Saccharomyces cerevisiae S288C: one gene and its partners. Changing the gene in region 2 together with the main gene of any one other region gives a genetic interaction. Each region holds a gene or a part of one and is shown on either strand. Other genes may lie near its edges.

Region 1 (8,786 bases), on a different chromosome or scaffold from region 2:
TACTACATGATTTTAAGAGAAACGCTTTAGTCTTATTGAAAGCAATTATGCTTGAAAAAAAAATTATAGTTTACGGCAACGACGTGGAAGCTTTGTGTAATTTACAGTTCGGTCTGATCAGCTTAATTCCGGACTTGATGTCAAATTTGCAGGATTCTGGCAGTCCTCAGTTGTTTCAGGATATTTCGAAATTAAATGTTGTGGACTCGTTTAAATCAAGCAATCGAGAATCAGTGTTGAGATTCTTAGGTTTTCCATTACCGATTTTCGAAAAAGGTGGACTATTTTCACCCTATACTCCACTGCAGCAAATGAATGACATACGGTCAGAACGTACTTTGTTTTTTATGATTGGAAGTTCCAACACATTGCTTGCTGAACAAAAGGAGGAACTGTGCCACATATTTGTCAATACAGACAATTCCACTGTAGATATTCTGGACAAGACTTTGAACCCCGTCCTCCAATTGTCAAGTCATGATAAAAAATGGATTGAATCTATATCTGGAATTGTATCAGACACATGGAACGAAAATGATGATGAAACTCCAAAAAACTCTCAATTTGAAGGCAGTGAGGATTTCATTAGGTGGCAATTCGAGGACTATTTAACGGGGTTACTTTCCAGTGTTAAATTAAGTGATTATTTGGACCTGCATAAAGAGAATGATCAAGCTTTGAAGACTATACCTGAGGATATGCTAAATTCCAATCCCGTTCATTTATTCAATTTGAATTGGGTTCAGAGTTGGAAAGAGACTCAAAATTTTCTGATATTCAACTCAAGAACAGATGATAGATTGTTCGACTTGTTTCCTCCGAAGCATATATATAACGGTGCCGACACTCTGTCTCTATTACAGCAACGATTTTTGGCCACATTTCATAATTTAAAAAGAAGCTCTAGCAACTCTTCAAGCAATAAAAATGGTCATCAAAGCGAGGAGGATATCAAAGACCAGGAAAGCATCGAGTCAAAAAAGTCTGTTTCCCAAATTTCTGTAAATCCTGGAAAGAATACAGACAAGCCAGCAGCCAACTTATGGAATTCATGGAAGGAATATTTCAATAAACCAAAGAATACTGCTAATGAAGATGTTACTGAATCCACAGAAGATCTCAAAAACAGAAGTAAAACATCGAACGCGATACAGAAAGCTATGATGGGCTTGGGTTTACATTATAAACCTGATGCGGAGACAGATCAACAAAGTGAAGAGGTGGGAAATAGTGAGGACAATGAAGATGATGATACTGATGAGGACTCTGAGGATGATGATGATGATGGTGGTGATGACGATGATAGTGAGGACGATGACGATGACGATGACGGTGAGGGCGATGAAAATGGCGATGACGGTGAGGGCGATGAAAATGGCGATGACGGTGAGGGCGATGAAAATGGCGATAAGGAAGACAGTCAAGATTTTAGCAATGGTTTTACAGACGTTACGAACATTAACACTGATCATGATAAAGAAAATGAACAGAATTTTGAGGGTAATGCAGAAAATTTTAATGAGGACGAAACCGTTGCAGATAAAGATATTGAAGGTGGTCCTGAGAGCAATAAAAATTCCGACAGTAAAACTGATATTTATGAAAACGATAGAAATGTTGAAGACTCATCTAAAACGAGAAATACAGTTAAAAAATCCAATGAGGAGGGCGGTGCGAATGACGCTGCTATAGGTAATTGTGTGCAGGATGAGGAAAAATTATGATATCTATACTATTTGTTAGCAATCGCGCTAAGATATGTTTATATGACAAAAAGAAAATCAAGAAACAGAGCCCTCCAGTTGTGAAAGTTGCAGGGGAAAAAATATCCGTGAATCTCAATACCTTTAGTCGTATTGGGATAATAGCTGAATAATAATTTATAGAAAACTGGGGTGACCTCCACAAGCACAATAAGATTCAGAAATTATAGAATATAGCTTTTTGGGGCTTTCCAAAAATGGAATAGAAAATTTTTTGAAGTTATTCTATTTGCATAGACGCTCATCAAACTATGTTTAAAGATTAACTTCATAGTAATCTTTTGAATGCTTTTTAGCTTCCTAAAGATGAATAACGTAGAAAGTTGAAATATTTAGAAACAATCGCAGTATCCTTGCTAGACCCTCTTTAATATTAATAGTAATCTTGCAAACAATAAAGATAAGTAAAGTTAACGATAAAAGCATCATTTTCAACAAAACTGAAGGGTAGCGACATAATTGTCGGAGCAAAAAAATCTTCCCCGCCAGGACTTGAACCTGGAATCTTCTGGTTCGTAGCCAGACGCCGTGACCATTGGGCCACGAGGAACAAGATTTATTGTTTTTGTTTTATTACGGGCTCGAGTAATACCGGAGTGTCTTGACAATCCTAATATAAACAGTCTTAGGGAAGTTACCAGTTGTCAAAACGGTTTATCAGATTAACTCACGGATGTTACTTATCTTATATATTATATAAAATATGAATCATACTAAGTGGTGGAAGCGCGGAATCTCGGATCTAAACTAATTGTTCAGGCATTTATACTTTTGGGTAGTTCAGCTAGGGAAGGACGGGTTTTGTCTCATGTTGTTCGTTTTGTTATAAGGTTGTTTCATATGTGTTTTATGAACGTTTAGGATGACGTATTGTCATACTGACGTATCTCATTTTGAGATACAACAGTTTTCTATTTTTGAATCTTAGTGTTTTATGCTACGATGTAAGAATTGATAATGTAATGGAATATATGAGCTGCTGTACAAAGCGAAAGAAGAAATAGTGCTATGATTAAGTAAAATTATTGATACCTTTTGCAGAGTCTTATCTTCTTGAGGACTACTCGTAGGTTATTCTGTATACTTATAACCTCTAATAACGCTAAGAAATTGTCTCCATATCAACCTATTTCTCAAAACTCAATAAACTAAGATCCGTAGTTCTGTATAGTACTGAAAGTGTTCCTATTTTGGTGTCGTATGTTGCCATTCATTATTTTTAATAAATGCATTCCCACATCCACGAAATTGAAGACTTTTTGAAATTTGTTCTATTAGACATATGGTTTATATCTTCACTGTTTATAATAAATAGCTCCGTTAGAATTAATGAATGAGAGCATAAATACAAAAAATAGAAAAGATTTTGATATTACATAGAGCTGCTGATTCCTTTTATGAGTTCCTAATTTCTTAAGGAGAAGTTTCTGCCACAGTCCGTGAATGTAATAGTTATCTTCAACAAGAATGAGATTGCAAAAGACTAAATGTGGTAAGTATACGCTTGTCTGGGTGAGACAGCTATTTAGCAAGTTCTCTTTTTCTGCTTCAACTGTTCTATTTTCTGTATTTACTTTTTTTTTATATTTTCTCCGTATTTATGAAAATTCCTCTTCGGTAAAAGCACAGAATTAGACTTGAAATGTAAACAATATAAGACAGACAAACCTTTATCGAAGATAGAAGTGCTGATAAACAAACAATACGCCATAAGTGACGGTTCTTGGAGTCTTAAAAAGGTCTTTCTTGACTTTTTAGTTTCCTTTTTCTTCCAGTTTTACAAGAAAATCCAATGCGGTTAAAACAGAAAAAAATCATGATCGAAATACGTCCACTTTACTTTGTAATTGAGTTTTATCTTTTTTTTTTTGTTTCCTCTATACAACTATATACGTAAATACTTTTATGAGTACCATAAAAAAAAGAAACATCAAAAAGAAGTAAGAATGAGTGGTTAGGGACATTAAAAAAACACGTTTACTGTTGGAACTCATTAGCGTACTGTATGGCCTGGTTACCGTAGTCCGTAATGGTGTCATTTGCAGCTACATGATCGCTGACTTTGTTTCCACCAGCTATATCTGAGTGATCATTTCCAGTAGTGCCAGCGCCATTATGCGAATGCGCAGCCATGTTTAACTGAACTTGAGCCTGAGCCTGAGCCTGTGCCTGCGCCGCGGCAGCGGTGGCTGCAGCAACTTGGTCATCAAACGTGGCAGATATATCAATCTGTCCATCACTGCCACCAATCTTATGGAAGTCTAGGATTTCTGAGTACATCATAACACGCCAGGTATCGACAGGCAGATCAGCGTCATTAAAGTGCCAATCGAACTTGGCATCGGCTACTGGTTCATCCGTTGGATCGTGGTAAGGAGCCGAATAAGGATGAGCCAAGGCATCCGCCGCAGTGATTCTCTTCTTAGGATCAAAAACCAGCATTTTTTCCAAAAGGTCTACGGCATCAGGTTCGACTGTTTTAAATCTTTCAGAAAATGGAATTGGATCTCTGTGTGGTAACGAAGTAACAAATTTTAGAGTATTTTCGGAACAAATAGTATTTATCACATCCTTTGGCGGAGATCCCAACAAGTCAGTGATGATCGAAAATTGGTGAACATGATCTTTCCCAGGGAACAAAGGCTTACCTTCAATCATTTCGGCAAAAATACAACCAGCGGACCAAATGTCGACCTCGACGTCATATTTTTGCCACGTTAGCATGATTTCAGGTGCCCTGTAGTATCTAGTGGAAACATAGCCTGTCATTTGAGGGTCTTGAATTCTTGCTAGACCGAAATCGCAAATCTTCAAATCACAGTTTTCATTAATCAGAATGTTGCTCGGTTTCAAATCTCTATGAATGACGCCCGCGGAGTGAACGTATTTTAAACCCCTTAGAATTTGGTATAGGAAATACTGAACAAATTGCTTTTCCAAGGGTCTTGTTTGCAAGAGTCTATGTAAATCTGTTCCTTGTAATTCCGTGACAAAATATATATCTTCCAATGGAGAAAGAAATATGTCCTGAAGGCAAATCAAGTTCTCGTGTCTTAGATGTTTTAGTAGTTTTAGTTCACGATATGTCCTTTTGGCCAGCACTGCAGTGGAAAAAGGTTTCATGATTTTCTTAATGGCAACTGGCTGAGATGTCAAAGTGTCCGTGGCTGAGCAAACCAACCCAAATGCCCCCATCCCAACGGGGTTTAAATCATTGTATCTATTTGTGATCTCGAAAACTGTACCGAATATCTGTGTCCTAATGAATTCCTCGTTAGTGGTCATTATTATATACGATAGTTGTAGTTTTCCCTGTTTTCCCTTTGTTCCTTTTTTTCGAGTCTAGTATTTACCAATATAGAAGAAAGAGAAAATAAATAAGGTTTCTTGTTAGAGATTAGTTACTTTTGCTATTATTATCGCAAATTCCTCTTCCACTATACAAACAAGAAAGTAATTACTACTCTTATTGTAAGATAGTATGATAATTTCGACGATAGATAATATTTGCTTTTCGTTGGCCTTTTCTTTTTTTTTTTCCTTCCTTCCCTTCGAAGATCCTCCCGTATAATAACGCCGCCAGACCATGTAGGGTAACCAGAGAATACGCCCACTCCGCTTTCGCATGTGGCACTCCTGTATGTCAAAATGCCGAATAATCTCCATCCATGACGAAGCGCTTTGAGGTGTTTAATTATATACAGGGCAAAGTCTTGGAGATAAAGAACGCTTTCCTAACAACTTGCGCTATTCCTCTTATTTCCTTCAATCGATTAAAATTAACTTTTAATCGACATTGTCTTTTAAACCAGGGCAAAGCAAAATAAAAGAAACTTAATACGTTATGCCGTAATGAAGGGCTACCAAAAACGATAATCTCAACTGTAAACAGGTACAATGCGGACCCTTTTGCCACAAAACATACATCATTCATTGCCGGAAAAAGAAAGAAGTGAAGACAGCAGTGCAGCCAGCCATGTTGCGCCAATCTAATTATAGATGCTGGTGCCCTGAGGATGTATCTGGAGCCAGCCATGGCATCATGCGCTACCGCCGGATGTAAAATCCGACACGCAAAAGAAAACCTTCGAGGTTGCGCACTTCGCCCACCCATGAACCACACGGTTAGTCCAAAAGGGGCAGTTCAGATTCCAGATGCGGGAATTAGCTTGCTGCCACCCTCACCTCACTAACGCTGCGGTGTGCGGATACTTCATGCTATTTATAGACGCGCGTGTCGGAATCAGCACGCGCAAGAACCAAATGGGAAAATCGGAATGGGTCCAGAACTGCTTTGAGTGCTGGCTATTGGCGTCTGATTTCCGTTTTGGGAATCCTTTGCCGCGCGCCCCTCTCAAAACTCCGCACAAGTCCCAGAAAGCGGGAAAGAAATAAAACGCCACCAAAAAAAAAAAAATAAAAGCCAATCCTCGAAGCGTGGGTGGTAGGCCCTGGATTATCCCGTACAAGTATTTCTCAGGAGTAAAAAAACCGTTTGTTTTGGAATTCCCCATTTCGCGGCCACCTACGCCGCTATCTTTGCAACAACTATCTGCGATAACTCAGCAAATTTTGCATATTCGTGTTGCAGTATTGCGATAATGGGAGTCTTACTTCCAACATAACGGCAGAAAGAAATGTGAGAAAATTTTGCATCCTTTGCCTCCGTTCAAGTATATAAAGTCGGCATGCTTGATAATCTTTCTTTCCATCCTACATTGTTCTAATTATTCTTATTCTCCTTTATTCTTTCCTAACATACCAAGAAATTAATCTTCTGTCATTCGCTTAAACACTATATCAATAATGCAATTTTCTACTGTCGCTTCTATCGCCGCTGTCGCCGCTGTCGCTTCTGCCGCTGCTAACGTTACCACTGCTACTGTCAGCCAAGAATCTACCACTTTGGTCACCATCACTTCTTGTGAAGACCACGTCTGTTCTGAAACTGTCTCCCCAGCTTTGGTTTCCACCGCTACCGTCACCGTCGATGACGTTATCACTCAATACACCACCTGGTGCCCATTGACCACTGAAGCCCCAAAGAACGGTACTTCTACTGCTGCTCCAGTTACCTCTACTGAAGCTCCAAAGAACACCACCTCTGCTGCTCCAACTCACTCTGTCACCTCTTACACTGGTGCTGCTGCTAAGGCTTTGCCAGCTGCTGGTGCTTTGTTGGCTGGTGCCGCTGCTTTGTTGTTGTAAACTTAGTTTATTATTATTTATACATTCTAAATTTTTTATAAACTTTTTTGGCATTTAACAAATATATAACAATTGGGATTTAGTAGAAATTCTTTTAATTTCTTCTTTTTTTTTTTAATCTATATTTATTCTTTTTCTTTAATTTTGTTCGAAACGCATATAATGTTTTTATTGATTTTGTTTCAGGTTCCTGAACCTCGCGGAGTTCCTATTTTACTGTTGTTTTTTTTCAAAACACAGGGGTACCTTGAAGTATACGCAGTGCCTCTTAGCCAAGGATAATATAAACACACTAGAACAAAAAAAAAATACTCCTTGTACAGAATCGTTTTCTATTTTGAATTTTTTTTATATAAACATGGTTTTATTGTCTATTACATAGCATCTACAAATGAGCCAAGACACTTTCGACTGAGGAAACGGTCACATCGGTACCTGGGTTGGTTTCCTTGGCAGCGTAAGTAACGATACCGTTTTCAACAACCATGGCCCATCTACCACTCCAGTAAACACCGTCACCGACGGCTAATTCGAAACCAATGGATTTGGTGAAAGCACAGCCTGGGTCGGAGGCAAACTTGATGTGTGTGGTGTCCTTAACACCTAAACTCTTAGCCCACGCTTGGTTAGCGAACGGGTTGTCAACAGTAACAACGATCACTTGGTCAACTTCCTTTTCCTTAACTAATTCATCCAAGTAGTTGATGTAACCTGGAATATGGCTGACAGTACAGGTTGGGGAGAAAGCAGCTGGAGCACCGGTAATGATAACCTTCTTGTTTTCAGAAATTAATTTGGACCATTCAACTGTTTGTGGCATCTTACAAGATTCACTGTCAGCATCACTTTGGCTGATAGCAATGTATTGGAATTTGTAGTCGCCAGCTGGGAATTTCTTGTTAACTAAGTCAGACATGTTTTGTTGTGGTTATTGGTAGTACTTGTGTTGTTCTGGTTTGTTGAAATTTCGTTATAAAGAAACGGTATATGCACAATTGGCAAGGGAGAGGAAATTGTGCTCCTTTATATAATGTTTCGTTTATGCTTTTCCCTTACATCTCGTCCTTAATTTTCCACCCCTTTATTTTTCATTTAACCTCTCAACAATATGTGAATACCGTCCGGAAGGGGTGTGGAAAAAGAAAAAGAATGATACAGAAGAAAATCAAAAGATGATATTCAACTTCATCACCAAATACTGACCTTTTTGGCCAGAGCTCCCCGTATAATTACAAATCAGAAAAAATCCGCGCTCACTACCTTAACGGAAGGAAATATTCCACATGTCGGATTAATTTTTCTCTGGTCCCATGACCATGTGCCGAAATCTTTTCAGTGACGTCAGGACCGGTTTTTCCGAGAGCCCCACAGGGGACGCCGATGATTTAGGGTTCTTTTCTTGATTACTAATAGACAACATAAGCGCAATAGATCGAGGCCAAGGTGGTGGTTTATAAATTGTATTACCTTAAAGGCTCATTATTAGCTTGAACACGAATATCCAAAGAACACGAACAACTTCAGGACGTGGATAGACAAGTGTAAAGTCACTCACACGCACGCTCATATCAGATGTCTGGCCAAAAGGGCGAGATCGTGGTTTATACAAAAGAGTTAGAAACTACCCCCGAGCTTTTACCAAACCATGAAGTTTTCAAGATTAGGATTGGCCAAAAGCTATTTGAGATCTCAGGTGCTACATTGAATTCGGATGCGCCCAATTTTTTCACCCAATTCTTCAATACGCACGATAAAAATACGATTCTATTTGTTGATAGATCGGAAGACGTGTTCATCATAATATACAGACATTTA
Region 2 (9,952 bases):
TTGGAGAAAATAGATTCAATCTTGGTTTTCAAGAAAAGCTACAAGGGCGTCTCCAAAAATTTATGATGTAAAATAAATAGTGTCATTAGAGAATTTGTAAATAGCATTTTTTACCGTTATATAATTACTAGGGTGTATTTTTCTGAAAAAATAAAGGCATACCCTTCATCTAAGCTCTTTCTTATAGTATACAAGTCTCTTATATCGCACGATGTAACATCTACATACTTCCTTTATCGTCTTGAAGAGTAAACAAAAGATATATATATATTATTTTCTATTATTTTGGAAGAGAATGGTATTCCTACAGTATGCAGAGACACATCTGGTTGTCGTGTAGTTCTTTTAGTGTGTGAGAATAAATGGTTATCGTTTCTATATTCATGACCGCTCTCATCTTTTTTTTTTCATCCATCAAGGAAAAGAAAAGTTCAAAAACAGCCATATTGAGGAACACTTAATCTCTTTTTTCTAATGGGTTGTATCTTAAAAACTTTTCAATAAGATCGACGTGGGTTAGAATCATTCTTCTACAGCAGTATCTTTTTAGACCTAATCTTGACAATGCAGTACCTTCATCCAACTCATCTTCTTGCAACAAGTTTAAGTAGCTTTCCCACTTGTCACCAACAACTTTACCGCATGAGAAACATCTGACTGGGACAATCATTTTGTATTATTATTTTGCTTATTGAGGTTTACGTTCTACACTCTACAGTTTGAATACACTTTAACTATCATCCCATTGTGATTTTATTCAATGTTTCTTTTTTTTTTTCTTATGAAATTTTTTTTACCAAATACAACGAGTGAGAAATTACTTTTCGTTCAACGTGATCTTTGTGTTCTCAATTGCTGACACTTCCAGTGTAGTAGCCATCGGAGTGCTGATAGTAGCTTATTTTGGGCTTAAAAACCTCAAGAATATGAAAAGATTTATCAGGTCTGCTTTTGCATATATGAACCCTTCATCTTACTTTTTTACGTTGTAAATTCGTCAAAATATCAACAAAAATGGCTGCTGCGCCTGGGTGAAAAATTCGTCAGATCCGTTCTTATAAGACTGGAAAAACTCGCAAATGAAAGAATTGTTGTCTTTGACTAACCAAAATGACGAGCCTTTCAACAGTTATCGAAACGTAAATTGGATCCCATCAGTTTTTTTGTTTCAATTCGTCACTGTAAGGAAACAAACGGTAGATAATATTTTAGAAGAAAGGTGGATTTAGCCTTTTGTACCTATTTTCGCCAAGCAAGATAACCATGTCAGAACCAGTGATAAAGTCTCTTTTGGACACAGACATGTACAAGATTACGATGCATGCTGCTGTCTTCACTAATTTTCCAGATGTTACAGTTACTTATAAATATACCAACAGGTCGTCCCAATTGACCTTCAATAAGGAAGCCATTAATTGGTTGAAAGAGCAATTTTCGTATTTGGGAAATTTGAGGTTCACAGAAGAGGAAATTGAATACTTAAAACAGGAAATCCCATATTTGCCATCGGCATATATTAAGTATATTAGCAGTTCTAATTACAAACTACACCCTGAAGAGCAGATTTCCTTCACTTCAGAAGAAATCGAGGGCAAGCCCACCCACTACAAATTGAAAATTTTAGTCAGTGGTAGTTGGAAGGATACTATCCTTTATGAGATCCCCTTACTGTCCCTAATATCAGAAGCGTATTTTAAATTTGTTGACATCGACTGGGACTACGAAAACCAATTAGAACAAGCTGAGAAGAAGGCGGAAACTTTGTTTGATAATGGTATTAGATTCAGTGAATTTGGTACAAGACGTCGTAGATCTCTGAAGGCTCAAGATCTAATTATGCAAGGAATCATGAAAGCTGTGAACGGTAACCCAGACAGAAACAAATCGCTATTATTAGGCACATCAAATATTTTATTTGCCAAGAAATATGGAGTCAAGCCAATCGGTACTGTGGCTCACGAGTGGGTTATGGGAGTCGCTTCTATTAGTGAAGATTATTTGCATGCCAATAAAAATGCAATGGATTGTTGGATCAATACTTTTGGTGCAAAAAATGCTGGTTTAGCATTAACGGATACTTTTGGAACTGATGACTTTTTAAAATCATTCCGTCCACCATATTCTGATGCTTACGTCGGTGTTAGACAAGATTCTGGAGACCCAGTTGAGTATACCAAAAAGATTTCCCACCATTACCATGACGTGTTGAAATTGCCTAAATTCTCGAAGATTATCTGTTATTCCGATTCTTTGAACGTCGAAAAGGCAATAACTTACTCCCATGCAGCTAAAGAGAATGGAATGCTAGCCACATTCGGTATTGGCACAAACTTTACTAATGATTTTCGTAAGAAGTCAGAACCCCAGGTTAAAAGTGAGCCGTTAAACATCGTTATCAAACTATTAGAAGTAAATGGTAATCACGCTATCAAAATTTCTGATAACTTAGGTAAAAATATGGGAGATCCTGCCACTGTGAAGAGAGTGAAAGAGGAATTGGGATATACTGAACGAAGTTGGAGTGGTGATAACGAAGCGCACAGATGGACCTAATTATTCAGTTATGGGTACTGACATCTCTGCGATTTTATAAATATGACATATAGATATGCAGCTGATATCGCAAAAATAAAACATTATATGAAGTTGCGAGTACGTAAAAAAACCCGTGTTTCTTTATGAGGAGATTGTTAATTGTAGATTTATTTTTTTTTATTTTTAATGTATCTATATAATGAAATAAAATGCAACGAGAGGTTATGTAATTTATCAAAACGAAAAGTGTTTGTATAATAGGAGAAAAACAATTCTATTAACAAGGTAACGCGTTCTTTATCTGCTTTTGCAGGGCAAAATAATTTAATAATGCCTCATAACAAGCGATATATTGAGTTAGATTCTGTACCATTGAAATCCTTTGCTTTCTTAATTCATTCACTATGATAAAGATAAGGTCCTGAGTCATATTCCAAACATCAATCTTGTTTGAGTGATTTGTTGTAGGTGAAAGAATACTTAGTAGGAAATCCAAGGTAACGAAAACACCTGTTCTTCCACACCCTGCAGAACAATGGACTAATAGTGGCGATGAATTTGCTGTATCGAGATGTAACTCACTATTATTATCATCTATCAAATCAGGCTTGCAAACATCCTTTTCGAGGCTTGTAATAAAACTTTGCGGGTTAAACAATAACGAATTTTTGACTTTGTGTAGTTTAATGATGTCATTCATATCTACGCCGCATGAATCTAACCAATTCTTGTATTGTAATTGGTAAACAATAAACGGCTCGGATACAGCCATGGTAATGGAAGTAAGGTCACCATTATGCGGAAGGTCACAATCTTGACTGATATTATCATTTTGTGGAGCTGTTTTCTTGACTTGAAAGACTCTGAGAACACAGCCATTAATATTGCAAATATTCTCCCAGGTGTTCTGAAGTTTGATAGTGTGGTTGGAATATGACAGATTATTCCAGTAAATATCCCATTTTCTTAAATTCAATTCATCGTCAGAATTCAATGATATTATTACTTTAACTTTATTTAAAGTAATAACCTTCCAAAAATCATCCATCGTAGAAGGAAGCGGAGCTTGGGTAGCAATATACTTGAAATCAGGATTAATTTGCGTGAGCTTCAAATAGTTCGCATTGATATAGTCGTTCGGTTTGCAGGAGTGGTTTTTTGCATCTACGGGACACATCGGATATGACTTATCTGTTTTAGTTTCGGTTGTGGATGCTTCAGAAACTGCAGGTGGTTTCGGGGAGTGAGGTAACTTTACTCTTGAATGTTCGTAAGGTAAGATATTAGAATATCTATTCTTAGTAAAAGACTGAATTCCTTCAGTAAGTTCGTAATCATTTATTGGTGACATTATAGTATCATCGGAAGATAATGGTGATGGCGAAGAAGATGTGTTGTTTTTTGGTATAATTAATTTTAGCTTTTGATTTTTCTGTATGTTGCTTTTCAAAGAACTTTTATACTGTCGTTGCAAACTAGTTAAAGAATATAATTTTGAATCATCCGTGGATTGCGGACCCCTCTGCTTTTGTGATAGCTGCTTTTGATGTAAAGGCTTTTTCTTGAATTTCAGGCATTTCTCTAATCTTTGCATTTCAAAATTTTCTAAAGTTTCAAAATTGTTAAAGAGTTTCTTTAATATTACCTTTTCATTTTCTTTTACGGAGCAGAATTTTAGCCAATTCGGTAAAATCGTGTCGTTAGGTGCTAAGTCAGCAGGCATATTGAATTGGAAAAACTTTTGCAAAGAATTAGGAGAATAATGAATTAGATCCTTTTTCAGAGACTGTAAAAATATTTTATTTGAATCATTGGGTGGAGGTATGTTTATTCTTAAATTTAAAGTTGACCTTGAAGTTAAGTTTACATTCAAGTTCAAATCCAATTTGGGCAAGATGCAATTTTTCTTATTTTTTCCTAATGAGGGGGCCTTGCTATCATTCAGAGAGCCTTCGAGAAGAAAGAATTTCAAATAAGGAGATGGAAAAAAATGGCAGATGAACTTTTTAAACTTCTCAATGAGGCAAAAAGTTGTCTTTAAACAACTCGAAATTCTGCTAAACGAATCACTGAAAATGAAAATATCATAATCTTTGATGATCTTTGTGAACTCAATATACTTTTCATCAGATCCAAGGTAATTCTTTAGTAAGTTCTCGAACGGGTAGTTCGACCTTTTCACCAAAGTGCTGGGTAGCGGCAACGATAAAACTGTGATATCCTTAGCATTGGTATTGCCTAAAAATGAGTTGGTATTGGGGCCAGCGCACAGATCTAGTAAAAGTATTTTAGAATGCCTATTAGAGTTGTTCCGCCGTATGTTAACGTCGTCCAAATCTTTGCACGGTTTAATTTGATTTTGGGGAAGGTTAGACAGATTTATAGTTTCACCTCTATAGACGGGCATTTGACCAGGTGTTCTAGTTTGATTGACTTGTATGTGGCCCTTTTCCGATATAGCGGAAGAAGCCATTCTATTGCCGTTATTGTCTCTTTTGCCATTACGATATTGCTGTGCTATGCGATCCATCAATAGCAACGTCGATCCTATTTTATTGTAAACTATTAATAGCACTGGGGATCGGACCTAGGCTTCCAAACTAAGCGAAAAGGGCTGTGCAAAGCGGAAGAGGGGAACCAGGGGAATCGGGTCTGTCAGGTTGAGTGATCTCGTCTTTCTTGTCAAAGGTCGCAGCGCGGTGTTCAAAGAAAGATGATGATTCAAAGTTGGCACTTCCCAAAGGTTTTAATAGGTGCATTATTTTTATATATTCCTTATTGTTAGGTGTACTACACATAAAGATATAAATAGTTCCATAAAGCAGGCGCGTATTTTCCAGATCACGTCGGACGAAATTGTAATTGTGAGATGAGCTGAAAATTTTTCGATCTATGCTTAAGTGATGATATATGGACAAGTTAGGAAAGAATTAAAGGGAGTTTAAAGTGTTGATAATTGAGCGTTTTAATCGCTAGGGACTTAGTGCTTGTTGAAAAATGGTTGCTGCGACAAAAAGACGGAAAACTCATATACATAAGCATGTGAAAGACGAGGCTTTTGATGATTTATTGAAACCAGTATATAAAGGTAAGAAACTAACTGATGAAATCAATACTGCTCAGGATAAGTGGCACCTTTTACCAGCATTCTTGAAGGTTAAAGGTTTGGTGAAGCAACATCTTGACTCATTTAACTACTTCGTTGATACAGATTTAAAAAAAATTATAAAGGCAAATCAATTAATTTTGAGTGATGTTGATCCAGAATTCTACCTGAAGTACGTCGATATTAGAGTGGGTAAGAAGTCCTCTTCTTCGACAAAAGATTATTTGACTCCGCCTCATGAGTGTAGGCTTAGAGATATGACATACTCTGCACCAATCTACGTGGATATAGAATACACTAGAGGTAGAAACATTATTATGCATAAAGACGTGGAAATTGGTAGGATGCCGATCATGCTGAGATCTAATAAATGTATCCTATATGATGCTGATGAATCGAAAATGGCTAAATTAAACGAGTGTCCGTTGGATCCTGGTGGTTACTTTATTGTTAACGGTACCGAAAAAGTAATTCTTGTTCAAGAACAATTATCCAAGAATCGTATTATTGTGGAGGCAGATGAGAAGAAAGGCATTGTTCAGGCCTCCGTTACTTCATCTACCCATGAAAGAAAATCTAAGACTTATGTCATTACCAAAAATGGCAAGATCTATTTGAAGCACAATTCCATCGCTGAAGAAATTCCTATTGCTATTGTTCTCAAAGCCTGTGGTATTTTATCAGATTTAGAAATTATGCAATTGGTTTGCGGTAATGATAGTAGCTACCAAGATATTTTTGCAGTCAATTTGGAAGAATCTTCGAAATTAGATATTTACACACAACAGCAAGCTTTAGAGTATATTGGTGCAAAAGTAAAGACAATGAGAAGGCAAAAACTGACTATCCTGCAAGAGGGTATAGAGGCCATTGCTACCACGGTTATTGCACATTTGACTGTGGAAGCCCTTGACTTTAGAGAAAAGGCTTTATATATTGCCATGATGACGCGCAGGGTGGTGATGGCAATGTATAACCCTAAGATGATTGATGATAGAGATTATGTTGGTAATAAACGTCTTGAATTAGCAGGCCAATTGATTTCTTTATTGTTCGAAGATTTGTTCAAAAAGTTTAATAATGATTTTAAACTAAGCATTGATAAGGTCTTGAAAAAACCAAATAGGGCTATGGAATACGATGCATTATTGTCAATTAACGTCCATTCAAATAACATCACCAGCGGACTGAACAGAGCTATCTCAACCGGTAATTGGTCTCTTAAAAGATTTAAGATGGAAAGAGCGGGTGTTACACATGTTCTTTCCAGACTATCTTATATTTCCGCATTGGGTATGATGACAAGAATTTCTTCTCAGTTTGAAAAATCAAGAAAAGTTTCCGGTCCAAGAGCATTACAACCTTCTCAATTTGGTATGCTTTGTACTGCAGATACTCCAGAAGGTGAGGCGTGTGGTCTAGTGAAAAATTTAGCATTAATGACTCATATTACTACAGATGACGAAGAGGAACCTATAAAGAAATTATGTTATGTTCTTGGTGTAGAAGACATAACATTGATTGACAGTGCATCCTTGCATTTAAACTATGGTGTTTATTTGAATGGTACTTTAATTGGTTCAATCAGATTCCCAACAAAATTCGTTACTCAGTTCAGACATCTGAGAAGAACAGGTAAAGTGTCGGAGTTTATCTCAATTTATTCAAATTCTCACCAAATGGCAGTTCATATTGCAACAGATGGTGGTAGAATTTGTAGGCCATTAATCATTGTTTCTGATGGTCAATCTCGCGTGAAAGATATTCATTTACGCAAATTATTAGATGGTGAGTTAGATTTCGATGATTTTTTGAAACTCGGATTGGTGGAATATTTAGATGTCAATGAAGAAAACGATTCTTACATTGCATTGTATGAAAAAGATATAGTTCCCTCGATGACACATTTAGAAATCGAGCCATTCACAATTTTAGGTGCTGTTGCTGGTTTAATTCCATATCCACATCATAACCAATCCCCTCGTAACACATATCAATGTGCGATGGGTAAGCAAGCGATTGGTGCAATCGCCTACAATCAATTCAAGAGAATAGATACATTATTATACTTGATGACTTATCCACAACAGCCAATGGTGAAAACCAAAACAATTGAATTGATCGATTATGATAAATTACCTGCTGGTCAAAATGCTACGGTTGCTGTCATGTCCTATTCTGGTTATGATATTGAAGATGCTTTGGTTTTGAATAAGTCATCCATCGATAGAGGTTTCGGCCGTTGCGAAACACGTAGAAAGACAACCACTGTTTTGAAAAGATATGCGAACCATACCCAAGATATCATCGGTGGTATGAGAGTTGATGAAAATGGAGATCCTATCTGGCAACATCAATCTCTTGGTCCTGATGGTCTAGGTGAGGTGGGTATGAAGGTCCAAAGTGGACAAATTTATATAAATAAGTCAGTTCCAACTAACTCAGCAGACGCCCCAAACCCAAACAACGTAAACGTCCAAACTCAATATAGGGAAGCTCCGGTAATATATAGAGGTCCAGAACCTTCTCACATTGACCAAGTTATGATGTCTGTTTCGGATAACGATCAAGCTTTAATCAAAGTTTTGCTAAGACAAAACAGAAGGCCAGAATTAGGTGACAAATTTTCTTCTAGACATGGTCAAAAAGGTGTTTGTGGTATTATTGTAAAGCAAGAAGACATGCCCTTCAACGATCAAGGTATAGTTCCAGACATTATCATGAACCCTCACGGTTTTCCATCTCGTATGACTGTGGGTAAAATGATCGAACTGATATCGGGTAAAGCTGGTGTATTGAATGGTACATTGGAATATGGTACTTGTTTTGGTGGTTCTAAACTTGAAGATATGTCTAAGATTTTGGTAGACCAAGGTTTCAACTATTCCGGTAAGGATATGTTATATTCAGGTATAACAGGTGAGTGTTTACAGGCTTACATCTTTTTTGGCCCCATTTACTATCAAAAGTTAAAGCATATGGTCTTAGATAAGATGCATGCAAGAGCTCGTGGTCCAAGGGCTGTTTTGACACGTCAACCAACTGAGGGTAGATCTAGAGATGGTGGTCTGAGGTTGGGTGAGATGGAGAGGGATTGTGTAATCGCGTATGGTGCTTCACAATTGCTGTTAGAAAGGTTGATGATTAGTTCAGATGCTTTTGAAGTTGATGTCTGCGATAAATGTGGATTAATGGGCTATAGTGGTTGGTGTACTACCTGCAAAAGTGCTGAGAATATTATTAAGATGACTATTCCATATGCAGCAAAACTGTTATTCCAGGAATTATTATCCATGAACATAGCCCCAAGATTAAGATTGGAAGATATCTTCCAGCAGTAAGAAATCATATATCTTGTACTAAATTTTGCGTTATGTTAGCAATCATATCTATTTCGTGAGGAACTTTAAGAGAGTTGAACGATTTCGAAAATTATATAACAGTAAACCGTACTTCTTTCATTTTTGTACCTTGCTTTACATCATTACTTTTTATAAGATCCATCGAACGTTTGACGTGTTTTCTATCCATAAACCGGCCAAAATATAAAAATATCCAGCTGACAAGAGAAAGCTTGGAGTGCTCACATGTTAGCACATGTGAGCACAATGATATATACGCTTTAAAAAAGACTTTTCTTTATTTTACACATTTATAGACTTAACTATTGAATTCAAGACAAAAAATCAAATCTTGCTGAGTTGTTAAGCGTCTGACATTTCAACATCTTCGTTGTCATCATCACTTTCCAGACTGTTTAATAATTTTGCTTCTTCTGTTTCTCTTTCTTTGTCTTGTTCTTCCATACTTTCTCTCATTAATCTGGCCTTTTCTTCCTTAACTTCACGTTGTACTGCAACATAAGAACCTAAAGGTGTTTTATTCCAAGCTACATCATTCAAAAATCTTGAAACTTCAGATTTGTTTGTTGGCCCAAATTCAACATCTGATCTCTTTTCTTGGATGAATGTGCTGTTTTGGTTCAATTTTTCTACAACAGTTGATAAACGTTTGTTAAGTTTGACATTAGTTGAAGTCTTGATGTAACGGCGTAAAGAGATAATAACCGGTGTTACAAGTTCAGGAAATGCAATGTTTTTACAGTACAGAGCAAAATAATCGCCCAATAAGTCCACAAACTGTTCTGACAAACCCTCTTGGTATATTTTTGTATTCAGATAAGCTTGCGTACATTTGATGTTGTGCTCAAAATCGAAAGCAGCCAAGTTAGGGCTCTTTTTGGGTGCCTTAGTGAAAGCCGTTGAGGTTAAAATTTCAGAAAGTAAAGGATATATTGGAATAAAAACACCA
Region 3 (8,167 bases), on a different chromosome or scaffold from region 2:
TAACAATACCACCAACAACGACAGCAATAACAAGAACAATTCTATCACTACCGGAAATGATAATGAAAATATAGTTAATAATGATTTACCAACGACCGTTGTTTCCAATCCTGGAGATAACCCTCCTCCAGCCGACAACGGTGAAGAATACTTGACATTAAATGATTTCAACGACCTTAATATTGACTGGTCGACCACTGGAGATAATGGCGAATTAGACCTCAGCGGCTTCAATATATAGCTTGGTCTTCCTATTGTTAACTATTGACTTGTAAACCGTGTTGTGCATTCGCTACGTGAATTTAATTGGTATATATATGATAGAATATGTTCTCCAGTTTAAAAATCTGGAATCCTATTCTACTAAAACCTCATTCGTCATGTGAGAGATGCATGCAAAATAGATTTGGTACGTTTATACATATACATACATACACACATACACATTGCATATCTCTATGTCTATGCATAATTTTTGCGCGGTTTATAACGGATCCTTCTTAGAGGAAGACAACCATGACCGTTACATTATCTGTTGTGCCATTTTCCAAAGCATATCTAACCAAGACTTTTGCAGCTTCATTAGGTTCAGTAATATCCTTGATTAATTCGCATGCATCTTGATCATCAATAACATCCCATAATCCATCACACGCTAGGATTAAAAATTTGTCCTCAGAAGTTATTTCTACGCTCGTGGTAAATGGGCTGCCCACTACTAAACTATCAAAAAATTTATCCCCTAACGATCTCGTCACTGCCAGCATACCATTTACACGACTTTTCATTATCAGGCCACCTGCTTGTTCAACTCTCTGCATCTCCAAAGTGTCAGATGCCTTATGATCATAAGTCAGTCTTATGCTGTTCCCGTTTCTAAACAATACTATTCGAGAATCACCAACATTTGCTGTATATAACTTTCTTTGGTGTTGGGCTAAATCCATTGAATCATCAGAAACTGAATCCGGAAGCTCCCAACGTAATACGCAAACAGCAGCAGTACATCCACTATTTCCTACAAGTTTTGTATTAATTTCTTCGTCAATGGCTAGGAATGAATCGTTCAATACATCTCTAACATCTCGTGTTTCATCTGCCAAAATGTTTTGCTCTATAATTGTATGAAGATGTTTACCACACCATTTGGAGGCCTGAATCCCAGCATGTCCATCAAACACCGCGAAATATCCCCAATCTAATCTTGAAGCAAAGTTTTTAACATACGTATGAACATCTTCCATTGTCCTCCGAAATTTCGAGTTTTTATTTTCCGCCACACCTACTCTATAAGTTATGTCATATGGTGTTTCTGGCCTTTCTAAGATTTCAGAATGATTACTCATTATAATGATTTTTAAAAGATAAATGCAGTGCCTAAATGATATATGAAGTAAGAATGTGCAAAATCTCGTATACTCGGTATAGAATGGAATTTAACTCACCTCCTAATTGATAATACTGCCTATTTATTTTCTTTTCAACGACAACAAAAATAAGCGTTCACTTACTTAAACTATCAAAACTTGTTGTGTTTGGGGTCTGTTAATGTAAAGGAATCCGGATAAAAATTTTGAGACAACTTTGAGAGCTGTTTAAGACGAAAAAAAGTGACCTCAAACACACGAATAATAATGTTTAACTAAGCTTTCAATTTGCAAAGGTATACTTTGTCTTTTGAGTTTTAGTTTCCTATAAAATTAGGACAACAAACCCTCTCAGATGTGTTCACCAGTTTTCCTTTGCAGTTAGAATTCGCGAAGGCCCCGACGCCCTACCTATATTAAGTTTTTGAAACAAATATTGCACGTGATACAAAATGTACACATATTAAGCTTTGTTGAAGCATTACTTATATACGTAAATCTATTATAGAAAAATGTAAATGGGCACATCACAAGTATAAACCTTCTAAATTTTCCTCAACTTTATTTTTCATGACTCTCTCCTTGGCTTGTTTAAAATCCTCCGCTGTAACTTGCATTCTTCTCTCTCTAAGGGCTAACAAACCTGCTTCTGTACACATTGCCTGGATATCGGCGCCTGACAAATCATCCTTTGTTGTTACTAAAGTTTCAAGATTAACGTCCTCACTTAAATTCATCTTGGAAGTGTGAATCCCTAAAATTTTTTTCTTAGTACTTAGATCAGGGTTTTCAAATAAGATTTTACGATCAATTCTCCCAGGCCTGATTAATGCTGGGTCAAGAGTCTCGATTTTGTTAGTGGCCATAATCACCTTCACATCCCCTCTGTCGTCGAACCCGTCCAGCTGGTTCAGCAATTCCAGCATGGTTCTCTGAATTTCTCTCTCACCACCACTATTGGAGTCATATCTTTTAGTACCAATGGCGTCTATTTCATCAATAAATACAATACTTGGTGCATTCTCACCCGCTACTTTGAAAATTTGCCTACACAACCTAGGACCATCCCCCAAATATTTTTGAATTAACTCTGAGCCAACAATCCTTAAGAATGTGGCAGATGTTTGATTTGCAACAGCCTTTGCTAGCAATGTCTTACCTGTACCGGGTGCACCATAAAGAATCACACCCTTGGGAGGTTTGATACCCATCTCTTCATACAGTTCGGGGTGTGTTAACGGTAACTCTACAGACTCTTTTATTTCTTGAATTTGAGATTCTAAGCCACCAATATCACTGTATGATTCTGTTGGCGACTTATCCATTTTCATGACCGAAACCATTGGATCGGCGTCATCCTGTAAAACACCTACGATGGACATGGTTTTATGATGCAATAACACAGAACATCCAGGCTCTAGTAACTCTTTATCGACAAAGGATAAGATAGATACATAATAATCAGGCATAGTTGGACTTGTCACTATCGCATGATCATCGTCTATAATTTCTTCAAGGGTCCCAATGCTCAATGGATTTCCACGTATTTCTTCCAATTGTTTCTTTTCCTCCTCCTGCTTCTTTTCAAAGGGTTTTAAAATTTCAGAGTTAGAGACAAATTCTTCTTCTAATAACAAATGGTCTTTAATTCGTTCCATCCTTAGAAGCTTTAACTTACAACGAGTACTTGGATATATGTTGGGTAATTTTTCAGCAGTAGCTGGACCTCCCTTTCTTTTCTTACGACCAAATTTAGATTGAACGGGAGGTTCATATTTGGGTTTCTGATTAGATCCCTTCTTCTTCTTTTTGTCTTGTCCAGATGATACACCTTGTCCCATTTTATTTTCTATTAAAAACGCTGTCTCTTCTTTAACTTGAATTGACTGTAAGCTTGACACTGATACGCATCATATTCACTAATATTCACATTAACCTTCTTTTAGGTAAAAGAAAAGAGACATTTGCCACCGGAGAAAAACCGTTAATAACTCGTTACCCGGAGTGATAAAAATATTGGGAATATAAAAATGACGACAACTGCAGGACTCGAACCTGCGCGGGCAAAGCCCAAAAGATTTCTAATCTTTCGCCTTAACCACTCGGCCAAGTTGCCTTACTAATGATGAATTATTGACTTAAGATATATCCCAAACCTAGGAATATGTAAACCTGCTGGAATATTATTTGTTAGAATAAAAATCAACTATTCTCTCTCAACTAGTAGTCTTACTACGAGTATATTATAATGTACAATGTTAGATGATGACATAAGGTATGAGAAACTGTCATAGAAGTTAGAGGAAGCTGTATTCTGTATACATAATATTATTGCCTTTATTAACAATGGAATTCCAACAATTATCACTTGTTGATAGTTAGAGGTAAAAAATAGTATTAATGAAGAAATAAGTATTGATCTTCTTATACTAAATAAGAGAGGTATATAAAACACACGCCGATTGGTCATATTAATCATGACCAATATAATAGTGATTCCGGTAGTTACTATACATTGATGTGACGACTCATATTCCTCATATATGTACCTACCATATCATGTTCAATTAATAGATCTTTAGCACAGCTTCAGTATTGTCTGAGCTTCTCGTTTAACATTCCTTCTGCAATAGGTGCAATCACACTTAAACGTATACGAGGTGTACATTAATATACGGTGTAAGCATTAGATTGTTACCATAGCAACTCATGTCACTATTAATTACTCTCGTTCCAACATCACTAAATTCCCGTAATTACCACCGCAAAAGAAAAAAGAATACAAGAAATGGAAAACTAGCGCATAATTTTGTTTCTTTCTTTTTCAAAGTTGCAGCCGCTACTATTGATTCGTTTGAAAATAGCACTTGGCGGCTAAACTACCGGCATAGAAAGTGGATCGGGCAAAATTAAAAGGGAAAGAGCGACGGGGTTACGGGACCATTACATAAAAAAAGTATCACAAAATCTATTGTATGCAAAGATATAAACCATCACATTATTGAAATAATATCGTTCTTGATACTTCCATAATCCAAGAAAAATATTTCAAGCACTTTCTTGATGTTCCTTCCTATAATTTTTCACACCATCCTAACCCTCCTGAACTTTGGTAAATATTACTGTTTACCTATTCAAGAAGACGATGATAAATCAGGAAAAGAAATTGAACAAATTTTAGACAATAACATCGAGTCATTAGGACTACTACTAAATTCGATGTCCTTATCCTCGAACTTTACGACAGGCGATCCTGAACTAGATTCGCTCTTCCAAGATGATTTAATCCCCGAGTTATATAGTGTATTAGATGGCTTCTAACACCAAGTATGTGTATTCTAAGGGTATACAAAATAAATACTGCGATACTATTCAATTCTTCAACAGCAGCTTACTAGATGTAAAATTAGTTACTTCAATTTATACTGTCACTTTTGCATATTTTCAATAGAATAAAATTACCGACGTCTGCCTATTTCTTCCATTGATGGATATATTTCTTTCTCTATCTCATTGCTTGTTACAACACCAAAAGTTTTGCTAAGAATGTGTATAGGAAACAAAAGCCAGAAGTCATTTCGTTCCAAGCCTTTAAGCGCCTAATAGTGAACTTTGCACCGCATACGTTAGCTTATGGTATGTGTGGTAATGTGTGAATTGTTTGTGATATGTAAAAAAAAAAAAAAAAAGGCCACGCTCAAGCACACAATGAAATAAAATTTAAATTTCGGGGCCATTCTACCGTTGGTTTTGCTATCTGCCGGAAAGAGGAAGTCCACAAGTGCCAAAAACTGTCAGTTACATTTTAAAAATAATCGAAATTTATTTTCTTTTGCTATCTCGGTTAAATATTGATGTGTGATTTGGCATAGTTGGCCATTGTCTTATGATTTCTGATTCTACGACGTTCCAATTTTTTATAATCAGTTCAATAATAATAATACATCGATCGGTCGGTCATATTCTTTTCTTTCTTTTTCTGTCAAGGCGTTACTGACGCGACACACAAGCGGCAGGTATAGTGACGTTTTCCGTTGAATGAAGTAATTCTAATGAACCTACGGTTCTCAATAGCATTGGCAGAGGCAGCTGATAAATGTACAGTAGTTTTTACCAGGAAATCCAGCGAGTATTACACATCCGTAGACGCGCTATGTTTTTCCTCAGGTTATCTTTCAGTAATGCTTGAGATCTCTAAAGGAAGTATACACAGTAATAGTGTGACCCAAAAGTTGTTAAAATTTCCGGAGGTAGCCATTATATACCAATTTTTGTATAAATTTACAGGATTAGAAGGTACCTAAAAAACTATAACATGTCAAGAAAGGCCTCTGAGAAGTGAAACAATACTTCCAAGCACAAATATATATTAATAGAATAATGACTGCTTGGTAGTTGAGAGATTACATGTATTGCATAGTGACTGAAAAAATTTAGTATAATTGCTATGTTGCTAGCACAGTGTTAGAATAGGGGCAGATCATTTGTATCATATAATGGGGTATGGAGAACAGGTACCAATTGGGCATATTGAATATTTCGAATATGATGTTATCTCCAAGAATGTACATCATGTCCATTGTGACATTTCATGGTTTTATATATGGGGTTTCTGCATTTTTCAACAAACATCTCTTTTATAAGCTTTGCGCTAGTTATGGTATTTATTTTTCAAATTAATAACTTACAAATAAACAAAACTTTCTCAACTAAATATTTATTTCTTCCCTGTAGACTGTAAAAATTTCGGAAGCAAAAATAAACCTCCCTGAATGTTAAAGGTGATTATTAGGTGAATAATTTGATAATTGTTGCAATTCCACTGTTTGTAAATTCTATAGTATTATGTATACAGAATACAGCTTCCTTTAACTTCGACGACAATTTCTCATAACCTTATGTCATCATCTAATACCGTACATGATAACACACTATAAGAATTGAGAAACAGTCATCAGATGAGATGGAAGCTGCAAATGCAAGCATTGAAAATATAATAAATAACGAATGATAACAAAAAATGTGGGGAAGAAAAAACAACATTACCATGTATGATTCTTGCTTCCCTCTTGTAGTATCCTCTATCTTGTAAGAGACGTTGTGATATACTGAATACCCAGTAATATTCCCGCTATCTAGAATGAAAATTGTTGGAATTGAACTCTAATATCATCTATTTAATATTATATTATCACATGCGGTGTAAGAAGATGACATAAAGATTGAGAAACAGTCATCCGATCTAATGGAAGCTGAAATGCAAGGATTGATAATGTAATAGGATAATGAATGACAACGCATAAAAGGAAAGAAGATAAAATAATAACATTATGTAGAACTATCGATTCCCTTTTGTGGATTCCTATATCCTCGAGGAGAACTTCTAGTATATTCTGTATACCAATATTATAGCCTTTAGCAACAATGGAATCCCAACAATTATCTAACAACTCACATATTTCTCAAAAATAACACAATTTTATGAAAGTTCACATAATTGAGTTAGAGCTTGAAATACTCTAACTTACAATCAAATGAACACAAATCAGAAGCTTCTATGGCCAAGTTGGTAAGGCGCCACACTAGTAATGTGGAGATCATCGGTTCAAATCCGATTGGAAGCATATTTTTATGTATTCTAAGTATGCAACGATACCGCTGTCATCGTTAGCATGATTAGTACACTGTTGTTCTTTTTCAATCTAACAACCTTAACTTCAGTTCCGGCTACAGTACATCTATTCAACGATTGGAAAAGAAAATTTTTTTATCTTTAGCTGCAACAAGAAAAAATCAATATTAAATTTTCATTTAAGTATACAGAATGTTAACAGCGTTCACAAGAAAAGAACCGTATGGAAATATAGCTAATTGTGATTTCTAAGTTTCTTTTTTATCGTAACAAAAAGTCTTCGTCCAGGATGGTATCAACTTGCTGTCTACCGATTGGGTTATCGGTGTTTTGCCTTATTGGTTCATCAAAGTCCACAAACTCTTCTGCGACGCCCTCCTCTATCATTTCTTCTCTTCTTCTTGAAACTATTTCAACGAACTTTTGGACATGAGCGTCATTAATTGCTAGACCCTTCTGTAGCTGGAAAGTTTGCCTACACATCGGACACAGTCCTTTTGAGGTTGGTGTATCAAGCCAACGGTATATACAATGATCATGGAAGTTATGATGACATAGCCCAATCACTAAAGGGCATTGATCGCCTGGAAATTTACAGCTTGGACAGGTACCGTTATAACTGGCACGACAGATACCACAGACATCCTCGTCTTCATCATTGCCAATTGGATCGTTATTGGCTGCGTCCTCATCAGATGTGCTAGGGATGTGCCATGACCAAGCAAACACACTGTGCACTTCGTTTATTTTAACTTTCATATTTTTATAATCTGTATTGCCACTTTGCTTGTTAAACTCTCCCGATATTGTACAAAGTTTTTGAAGAATGCATTATTTTTTTATCTGCAGACACGGAAGATACAAAAGTTATCTCGGCAGCTTACCCTTTATATCGAATGCAGGCGTAGACAAAAGTGCGTTGCATAACTTACCAAGGTGAAGTGCATGGACCAGCAAAGGATAGAAGTTATTGTAAACATCGAAACCATAAACTTATATATGTATATATGAAGGCATTAAGCGTTTTATGTTTTCACAACCCTTTTAAGAGATGTCTTGGACAAAAAAGCTTCTTCGTTGGTGATAGCTTCTTTATTCCAACTCCGAAACGCCTTGTGCTAGGAAAACTACGCCTTTCCAACTACACTGCATTTCACGACCTAATCAT
Region 4 (4,003 bases), on a different chromosome or scaffold from region 2:
TGAGAAGATAAAGCATATTATCGATGATCTCTTACCAGCGTTAGCAATGAAGGAACCGACAATCTTAGATAAATTGCGTTACATTATTGCGTATGCTCTTTTCAGAGGTGGAATTATCGAGTTAGACTTCATTAAATTATTGAACTTTATAGGAGTTACTCATGAACATGAAAATTTCCAGCAATATTTAAAAATATTCAGAAATTACGATTTAATTGATTTCAAATTGATCAAAGACAAACCGAAGGATAAACCATTTCAAAAGGAATGGTTTCATGATACTTTAGTGAATGATCCAAATATCTATCACACTTCAAGGTTCGTTCCCGCTGTAGGGAATATTCTTTCAAAGGTTATAGCGAATCCATTGTTATTGAGCGAACAATACTTCCCATATTTAAAGGACAAGCCAATTGAGTTATTGAATGAAGAAGAATTCCAAGCAGGCTTAGCGAATACCTCTGCTAACTCCTCCTCATCCTTAAGGAATCCCCGTCACAAGGCAGCTTGGACCACGAAAAGCTCTAATATAAAAAAAAACATACCTAGACAAAGATTCTTCTACTATGTTATTGGTGGTATATCAATTCCCGAAATTAAAGCTGCTTATGATCAATCAAACTTGAAGAACAGAGATATCTTTATTGGCAGCGACGAGATATTAACACCAACAAAATTCTTAGATGAAGTGGAACGTTTACAAAATCCTAGAGAATTTTTCAAATTCAAGGAAGATCAGCGCCAGCAAGTAAACCCGCCTGATTTCCTTCTAAGGGAAATGAAACCGGTGGCACAACCAGTCTCTCATGTTCATTTAAAAAGCCAAGACAATAGTCCTAAGTCTGGTACTTCTAGTCCCAAAGCAGCAGGTTCTCTCAAGTCAGAACCACCCGAAAAAGAGAAGAAACGTAGCAAATTCTCGAGGTTCTTGAAAAGAAAATCTCACCATGATAAATGATCCCTTAAAGAAGACAGTGATAAAAAAAATCACTTGCTCTTGTCAAAAAAAAAAGATATAAACGTACTATTTATGTATCGTTCCTATGTACTATCTAACATGCTTATGGAGAAATTCTTGATGATATTCAGATTTTGTCATATCGTTAATGTATCCGGACGCTGATTTTTTTGTTGCATGTTCCTTAATATTTGTCTCTTTGGTTACTTTATGGCGTCCAAACGCCGTGCCCTTTCTCCACGATCGCCTAGACGAATTTCCTCCCTTTAATTGTTCATTTCCTTCAAGCTCTGCTTTATCTTCCACTTTATTTTTTTGAGTAACCAGCAGCTCTTGCAACGAGTCTTTTTGGTCTTTCTCACTGCGGGTTTCTTGGAGGTTCCCACTCCCCACAACATCCTGTTTCTCTTCGTTCATTACTGCCTCCTCTAAAGATTTATCGTTGCTCCTATCTTCTTGCGCACAGTTTGCTCTAAGATTTTCCTCCTCTTTAAATTTCCTGTATTTTAATGTTGTATGTCCTGGTAGTAATCTGGCATGCTCGATGCCTGTTGGTGTATAAGCGGCCGCTTTTGCACCGCTTCTTGCTTCTAACTGTGGTCTGTGTGATGTGGTCATGGTCTTGTAGCCCTTTCAAATGCCAGCCTCTGAGCAAGTTCTTTATGGAGCCTTTTGGAGCTTTGTCATTCCTATTTCCTTTTCGTGAAGAGATAGACTATTATTTTTAGTCACACCAACTTATTTTTCCAGTTGCGAGAAATGGAGAATTCACTTCAGAAGTAGCTTGTAATGGACAATGCAACACAGTGCACAGTAACAACACGCTCAATCACACATAATAACAGCTACCAATAAAACGTGATAGATACTAACAAATTTTAAGTATTTTTCTCAACTTTACCTTACTTTAACTTCCACTGACATATTTATTGAATCTACGATGGCAACGATGGAAACGACCACACAAAAAGATACCAATATTTTGAAATCTGGTCTCAAAAAAACTATAGGTGTTCTCAATGAGGCAGTATTACAGAACGGGAGAGAGGTGGAGGCAGTGCAGGCAGGAAATAGTGACACAATGGAAGATACAGAAACAACCACAATAGGTTATATATCAATCAAAGATTATGCGTACGCAGATTCGAATCCTCTCCATTATGGTTATTTTGATGGAGACAATGAGGAGGATGAAATGGTTTCAGATTCTTCAAATGGAGAAGACACATACAATAAAAGACAAAGTATAACACTACCAGACGACTACATAGTTAACCAACGTGCTGTTGCCCTCTACGATTTCGAACCCGAAAATGATAATGAATTGAGATTGGCTGAGGGTGACATCGTATTTATCAGTTACAAGCATGGGCAAGGTTGGCTAGTAGCAGAAAATGAGTCAGGATCAAAAACAGGGTTGGTACCGGAGGAGTTTGTCTCTTATATACAGCCGGAAGATGGTGAGAACGAGGTGGAGAATAAGGCTCGACCTTTCTATTTGACACATTTGATTACACAGAGCGTTAGTCCTAAAAACAATATTGATAACACTAACGAAGATGAATACGACGACAACGATGAATGGGAAGATATTGATGATGTTGCGGAGGTCGAAGCAGATATGAAAACAAAATTAGATATATCGGATTGAATACAAATTCCAATTGGTTATGACAGTAAAATACTCACTAAAAACAGATAAAGAGGTCACCACCCTGGCGGTATGCCTGGCCGAATCTTCTTCCATCTGTTCTATGTCATAATTTCCGTTTCTTACGGATATATACATATATATCAGTGTATGTACTTATGCATATGTTAAATTAGAAGACTATTAGTCAGAATATTCTTCCTCTATGTCCAACTCTTCCAAGTCTTCATTCTCATTCACTAAATCACCCTTCTTGATTTGTGTTAACTCACTTGGATCTAGAGGACCACCAATTTCTTGGAGTAAAGCATTAGCACCGCCCAATAATTCTTGCACAATTTCATCTTTGCTGTCAGCATTGACACCTGCTTGCAATGCAAAACTTAGCGCTAATCTTGAGTCATAGATTAACTGGGAGATTGGTTCGTGGGATAAATCCAAAGGAACTTCTTGAATGAGTTGGTTAAACTCGTATATATTTTCCGGACGCAGGCTTACTTCGGGATTGTTCAACTTGAAAATTTCTAATTTACTCATTAAATAATAAGTAAAACCCTCTAGATAATAACCCTCTATGTTATCCTCATCTATATCTCTTACTGCGGCAATAACTTTCAATGCGACTTCGTAAGCTCCCACTTCGAGGCACATCTTTGTTAAAGATAAAAGAGGTTGTAAAAGATCTACATACTCTGACTGTAAACCAGCTTTCTGAGTTGTGTCACCATTTTCATTTATACCGCTACCAATTTCTTGTTTTTTCAACTCAAAGAAATTCCAGGCTTGTGAGAATGCTTCATAAGCTTCTCCAAATTTTTGTTGCGAGATTTTGATAGAACCCAGGGTAGACCATGTTTCAGGAGATTTTCCCTCTGTGAGTTCCATCGCCTTTTGTATTAACTCCTCACACTGCTCTTCTGCATTTGGCTCCATACATAAATCCGTCATCCAAATTTCAATCACAGAAAGCAGTCCACCTACAATCTTTTCAACCTGAACGTTGGTTAACATTTCACCTCCAGTATTAGAGATGTTCATTATTCCGCGAGTTATTATCGATACACCATCCTGTCCACCCATGATTTGACCCATGGTAAAAAATTTGTCCGGTCCGCCAACTTGTCCCTCAGGATCTAATTCGCAAGCACGCGCTAAAATTGGGTAGGCTTTCTCTACCTGTCCATTATCCAGGTATGCATCGGCAAACACTTCATTCAGTATTACATTGTTTGCGTTTTCTTTTTTCAGTGAACTTTTGAACGGCTTCAATATTTTGAGCGCCTTTTTGGCATTATTTTCAGCCAGGGCTTCTTTGGCTTGCCTAATTGTGGCTTCAAGTTCACTCATATTCCTTTTTTAATCCTCAGCCTGAAGATGCTTTTAGGTATAAGTTC

Evidence for each region.
Region 1: of PTP2 (region 2) and HOG1, a mutation in one rescues a mutant of the other (synthetic rescue), as found in Saccharomyces cerevisiae (4 studies listed by BioGRID, with this or other methods).
Region 3: mutations in PTP2 (region 2) and PTC1 together harm fitness more than expected from each alone (negative genetic interaction), as found in Saccharomyces cerevisiae (8 studies listed by BioGRID, with this or other methods).
Region 4: mutations in PTP2 (region 2) and NBP2 together harm fitness more than expected from each alone (negative genetic interaction), as found in Saccharomyces cerevisiae (5 studies listed by BioGRID, with this or other methods).

Annotation. Positions count from the first base shown.
Region 1 is NC_001144.5:367,882-376,667, reverse strand, and holds HOG1 (mitogen-activated protein kinase HOG1), read right to left. Parts: upstream 5,049-8,786; coding exon 3,741-5,048; downstream 1-3,740. Other genes in the region: AVL9 (Avl9p), read left to right, coding at 1-1,724; YLR112W (uncharacterized protein), read right to left, coding at 5,458-5,877; YLR111W (uncharacterized protein), read right to left, coding at 5,945-6,277; CCW12 (Ccw12p), read left to right, coding at 6,570-6,971; thioredoxin peroxidase AHP1, read right to left, coding at 7,357-7,887; YLR108C (uncharacterized protein), read left to right, coding at 8,544-8,786. UniProt on the Saccharomyces cerevisiae protein: Proline-directed serine/threonine-protein kinase involved in a signal transduction pathway that is activated by changes in the osmolarity of the extracellular environment.
Region 2 is NC_001147.6:729,038-738,989, reverse strand, and holds PTP2 (tyrosine protein phosphatase PTP2), read right to left. Parts: upstream 5,066-9,952; coding exon 2,813-5,065; downstream 1-2,812. Other genes in the region: dynamin-related GTPase MGM1, read left to right, coding at 1-66; DNA-directed RNA polymerase core subunit RPB10, read right to left, coding at 458-670; NPT1 (nicotinate phosphoribosyltransferase), read left to right, coding at 1,264-2,553; DNA-directed RNA polymerase III core subunit RET1, read left to right, coding at 5,533-8,982; mRNA-binding ribosome synthesis protein NOC2, read right to left, coding at 9,346-9,952. UniProt on the Saccharomyces cerevisiae protein: Major phosphatase responsible with PTP3 for tyrosine dephosphorylation of MAP kinase HOG1 to inactivate its activity. May also be involved in the regulation of MAP kinase FUS3. May be implicated in the ubiquitin-mediated protein degradation.
Region 3 is NC_001136.10:433,088-441,254, reverse strand, and holds PTC1 (type 2C protein phosphatase PTC1), read right to left. Parts: upstream 1,347-8,167; coding exon 501-1,346; downstream 1-500. Other genes in the region: MED2 (Med2p), read left to right, coding at 1-241; proteasome regulatory particle base subunit RPT2, read right to left, coding at 1,895-3,208; YDL007C-A (uncharacterized protein), read left to right, coding at 4,431-4,688; APC11 (anaphase promoting complex subunit 11), read right to left, coding at 7,261-7,758; YDL009C (uncharacterized protein), read left to right, coding at 8,007-8,167. UniProt on the Saccharomyces cerevisiae protein: Serine and threonine phosphatase. Involved in tRNA splicing and cell separation.
Region 4 is NC_001136.10:778,996-782,998, reverse strand, and holds NBP2 (adaptor protein NBP2), read left to right. Parts: upstream 1-1,898; coding exon 1,899-2,609; downstream 2,610-4,003. Other genes in the region: SEC1 (Sec1p), read left to right, coding at 1-958; U2-type spliceosomal complex subunit CWC15, read right to left, coding at 1,049-1,576; ACL4 (Acl4p), read right to left, coding at 2,793-3,956. UniProt on the Saccharomyces cerevisiae protein: Negatively regulates the high-osmolarity glycerol (HOG) pathway through its negative regulation of the HOG1 kinase activity. Mediates the binding between the PTC1 phosphatase and the PBS2 MAP/ERK kinase (MEK).